2 linked regions of the Tribolium castaneum genome follow. The protein of the gene in region 1 purifies or fractionates together with the protein of each later gene. This does not show direct contact. Links are inferred from orthologs where the notes say so. Each region holds a gene or a part of one and is shown on either strand. Other genes may lie near its edges.

Evidence for each region.
Region 2: the proteins of morgue (region 1) and SkpA purify together in Drosophila melanogaster (affinity purification with western blotting; 3 studies listed by BioGRID, with this or other methods). This does not show direct contact. The link is inferred for Tribolium castaneum from reciprocal best matches to the Drosophila melanogaster genes morgue and SkpA.

Annotation. Positions count from the first base shown.
Region 1 is NC_087403.1:6,162,815-6,167,168, reverse strand, and holds the start of morgue (uncharacterized protein morgue), read left to right. Parts: upstream 1-1,324; 5' UTR 1,325-1,623; coding exon 1,624-1,749; intron 1,750-1,796; coding exon 1,797-1,919; intron 1,920-1,967; coding exon 1,968-2,166; intron 2,167-2,215; coding exon 2,216-2,391; intron 2,392-4,354.
Region 2 is NC_087402.1:1,039,205-1,041,826, reverse strand, and holds SkpA (S-phase kinase-associated protein 1), read left to right. Parts: upstream 1-1,428; 5' UTR 1,429-1,506; coding exon 1,507-1,995; 3' UTR 1,996-2,088; downstream 2,089-2,622. Other genes in the region: mitochondrial ornithine transporter 1, read left to right, coding at 27-340; uncharacterized protein LOC103312555, read right to left, coding at 447-600, 648-722, 771-910, 1,142-1,144.

The sequences.
Region 1 (4,354 bases):
AAACATACTTTTTGTTTTGAGAGAAAAAGAGATGAACGTAAAGGTAAAATATAACTTCAAACTCTAGTTGACTTATACGCTCGGTATGTTTTGATAGAATCTGATGAAATAATGCGGTAAACGATAAAAGTACGTAAAGGCGCCAAATTGTAAACGAGAAATAACAATTTTTACAGATAATTATTAATTTAAATTCTAAAGAATTGTAGGACAATTCTAAAAAAATCACAGGCATAAAGAGAAATACAAGGTATTTAATAACAAACGCTGAATCTAGTGCGATTATTTGTTTTTAAAGTATAGTAAAAATATTTATACCTACTTTTATTGACACCCTGTACTAACGAAAAATCACTGGATCAGAACATCAGAAGTTTTTGGTTTGTTTGTGTCTTTTTACGCACGTTTCTCAGCCAGAAACAAAAAATTTCGGTATTAACAGGCCATTAAATTAGGCCACATATGGTGTTAGACTTGCTTTTTGCGAGTTTTTTAACTCGTTTCGCTCGATTTAGCTCTTTTTGGTCGAAGATGTTGTTTTCTGCTTTTATCAAGTTTTCAAATAAAAGTATTTAAGGTTTCTGAACGATTTTTTTAAACTGATCGAAAAACAAAAACAAATTAAGTCGTTAAACCTAGTTACATTATAGCTTTGTTCGAGCATTTTATTTCATTTAAATTTATTGAGAAGTGCAATTATTTCGGAAAACTTCCTTTCTACAAGTCAAACATTTACCACATTAGGCTAAAAATAGTATTAAACTTGCCTTTTTCGTGAGATTTTAATATAAAAATATTTTTTTTTGAAAAATTTTGGTAAATTTTGTTTTTTTCCTGCCCGTTTATGCAATTATTTTAAGAAATTATGTTATAAACCAGTTGAAAATTTACTAGTCTAGACAAGAAGCAATCTTAAATAAATGTGCCTTCTTCAATAGTTTAAACAGGTTTTGTGAGGTAACAATATTTTTTTTAATCGTGCTTTAACTGTTTGAAAACTTTTTAAATTACGTAGCACTTGAGCCAGTTTCATTCGATTTAGTTTATTTTTAGGCAAAATTTTGCCAAAAATAAGTCAAAAAAACAAATTTTTTTATAGAAAATGCCTATTTGTATAGATTTTTGTCTTGTTTTTGATCTAAATCATTTATGTTTTTTCTCATATTGGCTAAATCTGACCGAATTGAGTCGATAATTGCATTATTTGTGCATTTTTTTGCATTGTTGCTGTTTGATTTTTTTTTTACTCGAATTGGCGCTGCTAATTCGAGAATTCGAGCTGAAAATCATTCGGTAACTCGAACTAACCACCGCAAACTGTCATGTTGTTGCTGTCAAAGCCGTCATAAATTGATAATGTTATTATTATTGTGGTTTTTGTTAGTTATGGAAGAGTAGAACAGAAAATTCGATAAGTTAATTATTTTTTAATAATTTACACTCGGTTTTATAACCGTTGAAACGTATTTATGTTTGGTTATAACCTGCATAACCTTACTTTTGGAAATGTTTTATTTTGGAAAAATCGCATTTGCATGTGCTGTTGTTTTTTTCCTGTCAATGTCAAACAAATTTTAATTTGACACAATTCACATCAAAATTGGGAATGCGCTAGAAAAAACCATGTTTCCTGAAGATACGTTTGCAATTTGTGATCCACGACGTGATGAAGACTGTCGCAAGAACGGGGACAAGGAGGTGCACCCGAAAATCAACGGAAATCGGAGAAATTCCTGCGCGATTGTAACAGTAAGTGTCGGGATTTTTTTTCCCGGAAAATAACACGGGTGTTGCAGAATACGTGCCACACGTGCAATGGGTATTATGGGCCGTGCTTTGACGACCCTGTGTGCTCCACCTGCCACGCTTTTCTGTACCCCAACACTGCCCCCATTATGGACAGGCCCTCAACCTTCCAAGTAAATAAAAAATGATTTATATGCCTTGTAAGTAGAGGAAACTTTCAGAGATCCAGTGATAGTGATTCGGGCAATGACGAGCCGGTGGATAACAGTCAGGAAAGCATGCCCAACGTCCCCCTTTACGAGGACTTCGTGGGCAAAATGGCCCCCGTAAGGGTGGATACCCTGACTAAAGAAATACAAAGGCTCTCAAACGTCACTCATCACGTAACTGACTTGAATTTAGAGCTATTTCCACCGGAAGGTTTGCCTTTTTTGCAATTTATCTCAAAAAACTGACACTTTAATTGCAGTTCTTATGCATATGTTTAAATATTTAGACGAAATTTCGCTGTGGAGCATAGGTCAAGTTTGTAGCAGGTGGCGGGAGATACTTTTCATGTGTGTGAAGCTCGAGCGTTGGCGAGACTTTGTGCGCTTAAGGTGGCCGTTGTTGCCTTTATATGATTACGAACAAGACTGGTATGAAGTAAGTCGTTTGGTATTTTGTTTGGTAAAATTTTACTGAGGCACATTCAATACACATGATAGATTACTGAAGTTTTCAGAGGAATCTTGTCATTTTTTTTTAAAATATTTAATTTTTTATTTAATTATTTATTTACACAACGGAAGTTTGCTAATTTAAAGTATTTTTTACTACCTCTTAACAACTACTAATCACACAGAATTTAGCGTTTGCTATTAAATACTTTCTATTTTTGTTTATGCATGTAAATTTCTTCAGATTTTTTGTACAATTCCTTATAATAAAAATTCTTAATTAAAAATATTATTATTTATAAAATTAAATATTAGTTAATGGATTTTTTTCATTTCTTGATGTTATTTTAAAAGAAATAATGCTTAAATGGTGTTTTGAGCAACAAATATTGCTAACTCCAAAATTACATTTGTTGAATTTTTTTATTTATACATCTTTATTTAATTATTTCTTAGGTCTAAAATGATTTTTAAGCGGCACTGTTGCGTTTAGACTGTCATAAGAATTAATAATATTGTGCAGCGACTTGATATTAATTAATTAAATTAATTTTTATTAAAGAACTGTAGAAAAAAATCTGAAAAAATTCACATGCACAGAGAAAATTATTGAGTATTTAATAGCAAACGCTGATTCTTGTGATTATTAGACTTATCTTGAATATTATTTATTTATTATTAATGTTTCTTGAAATAATTTTAATTCTAAGCAAATAATAATTATTAAATACTTGAATGTGGATAAATACGACGCCAGACTGATAAAAAAGTGAAGTTTTCAGAGGAATTTTGTCATTTTATTTATTTACACAAGGTGAGTCTGTTAAAAGTATTTTTACTATATCTTAAAAACCAATAATCACACAGAAGTCAGCGTTAAGTATTAAATGCTTTTTTTTTCTTTATGCATGTGAATTTTTTTAGATTTATTCTAGAATTTATTATAATAAAAATTAATTAATTAAAAATATTAATAAAATAAAAAATATTTCGATATTAGTTAATGGAAATATTTTTATTTCTAGGTGTTATTCTAAAACAAACAATGCTTAAATTTATTTATGTTTTATTTTTATTTCTTAGGCCTAGTATCATTTTTTTACCTATTTCTGAACAAAACGATATTTTAGCATTTTAGCATTGTTTGTTTAAGACTGTCATAAGAAAAAATGGTTTTTTTTGCTAATACTTGATATTAATTAATTTAATTAATTTCTTTTAAGGAATTGTATTTAGTTATTTTAATATTATTTAATAGCAATTGCTGATTTTTGTGATAATTAGACTTATCTTGAATATTTTTTTAAATTATTTATTATATTTTTATGTTAATTTCTTACAATAATTTTAATTACAACCAAACAATTATTTTTTTGAACATTTATTTTTTCATTGGTAGGTTTCCACCCATTAGAACCATTAGACCCTGTTGGTGTTTAACATTTGATTTAATGTTTTGTGGTGTTTTATTTACTGGAGCTACAGTTTTTATTACTAAATTTTGAAATACCTACTCGTATAATAATTAAAAAAAATACCTGTAATTTAATTACACACCAACGTCTATGTTTCTGTTTTTCTCCTATTTTTAAGGTGTGTTTGCTTTTTATAATTTTTTTTGTGTTTAAATTTTATGTTAAGTATTGTCATGTTAATTATTATAAAAAAATAATAGAAACAATCACATTTTTTAAAATAATTTAAGAACAGAAATCGTTTTGTGTACTTTTGTTGTATTTTATTATTGTTTTATGTATTTTATTTTTTACATTTTTTGTATGTTTATTAGAAAGATAAATTTAAATGTGCACAAATACGTTAGATTATTTAATCAATATAATTTAAATACAATATACATACGTAAAATAGTTAGCGCCAGTCCCAAAAAATAATTGACTAATAAAAATTGAAAATTTAAACAAGCGTAATTTTGGGACATGTTTTTTACT
Region 2 (2,622 bases), on another chromosome or scaffold:
GGCAAGTTGGTAACTGTGTGATTTAGGGACTAGGACTTTGCTAGCGCGTCCGGGGGAGTCCAAGGACGATATAGGCTTGTTTAAGACAATGGTGGCGGGGGCTTTGGGGGGCATGTCTTTCTGGACGTTGACTTATCCAGTCGATGTGGCCAAAAGTCGGATTCAAGTCACTAATAGTAAAATGAATATGGTTGCAATGATTTTGCAAATATCGAGGCGGGAAGGCTTCAGACAGCTTTATAACGGGTTGACTCCAACGTTAGTTCGGACTATTCCATCCACTGCCACTCTTTTTGCAACTTACGAGTATTCCAAAAGATTCCTCCACCAAATTTTCTGATTAGAAATAAAACTCGAACATAGTTTTTATATTTTATTTTTATCCAATAAATAAATAAATAGGAATACTGGGGTAATACTGTCCGGCCTGTCTTTTATTATTCTCCTCACTTCAGATAATTGCTATTTTCGGGATCGAACTCGGGGGACGATTCTATGGCTTTTTTCAGTAGTTCCCCGAAAAGACTCGGACTGTTAAGGATTGTAGGGAAATCGCGGGACCGGTCAATCCCCGAAAAATCGGAATCCAGGGCTGGCACCCTAACAAATGAATCAAACTTTTGCACTTTAATTGTTTTAATGACTACCTGTACTCGTCACTGAGACGGCTTAAAATGTCTCGCTTTTGCTGCCCGCGGCACACGGGAGAAAAAATGTGTGTCCTTAAATAATTAATTAATTAAATAAACCTGATATTATGTAATTAGTACCTGCAATGATTTTTTTTCAGCAAGTTGGGGTTTTTGACCAAAGCCCCGTGGGTAATTTCAATAGATAGGAAAATAATGCTGACGAATAACAACAAAGTGATTCGGTGGTCCGTAATGGACTTTTTCATTGTTGTGGAACCCTAAAAATCAGATAACAATTTGTTTGTGTTTTGCTCCAAAACACTTGAGAAGTCAAGTTAGATAAGAATTGGAAGTTTTCAAGTAATAAAGATTCGGTCAATTGTTGCGTCAGATTGTTACAATTAGTTGTTTTTATGCAATAAAGAGTGTTATCGCAAAAATTTCAAAATAATGTGTAAGAAAGAGGGTGATAAGGAGAAAATCAAAAAAGACGACTCAGACAGACTTACCATTGTTTGGCTTGGAGACAGGCGGTGAAGACGGACAATCTGGCTCCCAAATTCTTGGGCCACCTCTTTTAAATCAAGAGCGGGGTCTTGCGCAAACCAAGTGCAACAATTTTAACGCACAATTAAGCTTTATATTGCGGCTCTTCCCATATTACATTATCCGAGGCAAATAACGCGCTACGTGTTTTGATGAAAATTTTGCCGCGTCATTGCGTATTTGCTGCAATAACTCGTTTTGAATTAATTTGTTTATAACAATTGGTTCGAATCTGGCGCCCGTGTGGGGACGCTTGCGCGTTACACCTGTCATCCACCATTATTGCCGTCTATTGTCATATTCTGTCATCGAAGAAAAACCGTGAAAAATGCCGAATATTAAACTGCGTTCCTCCGACGGTGAAACGTTCGAGGTGGACGTGGAGATCGCGAAATGTTCAGTGACCATCAAGACCATGCTGGAGGACCTGGGGATGGACGAGGAGGAAGAGGAAGTGGTGCCTCTCCCCAATGTCAATTCGGCGATTTTGAAGAAAGTTATCCAGTGGTCCACTTATCACAAAGATGATCCTCCACCGCCCGAAGACGACGAGAACAAGGAGAAACGCACGGATGATATTTCGTCATGGGACGCCGATTTTCTCAAAGTGGACCAAGGCACTTTGTTTGAGCTGATCCTGGCGGCGAATTACCTGGACATCAAGGGGCTGCTCGATGTGACTTGCAAGACAGTCGCCAACATGATCAAGGGCAAGGCCCCCGAGGAGATCCGCAAGACTTTCAACATCAAGAACGACTTCACAGCCTCCGAGGAGGAGCAAGTGCGCAAGGAGAACGAATGGTGTGAGGAGAAGTAAACTCGTATTTTTTTTATTTAAGATTATTTCCAAAATTGCGTTCATTGTTTTATTGTAATATGATTATTTAAATCAAACGCCATTTCGACCCAACTGGTTGTTTATTTGCACCTTAACCAATTATAATAGGTGTCGGATAAAATATAGTATACAAGTGTTAAAATACGCCATAATCATCGCAAGACCCCGCCTCGTTCCCGCAAATGCGGGCCCCCATAAACGCCCCCATTAAAACCGCTACAAATATCATCGTTAAAAACCCTAAAAAGTACAGCCACGTCCTGGAGGAACACAAGGACCACCAACACCTACAACTCGCAATTAATTGGCAGCTTTTTAACCACAACTAACCCTCGGGTAAAACACCCATTTCGCTTGATTTCATCCTCCACGAAATTTTCCGACTTGGATAGTTGTTCATTCATTAATTTAATAATTTTGCATTTGATGTGTTTGAGCTTCTGTTTCGTTTCCAAAACGTCGCAGTCACAATCATCATCACGGCTCATTAAACTGGAATTGTGTTAGGATTAAGGAAATTCAATTTGTAGTGTGCAAATTGAGATTATGACGTTAAGGTGTCATTTTGGGCACGTAACTTCAGTGTCACAAAGGGACCCCGAATTA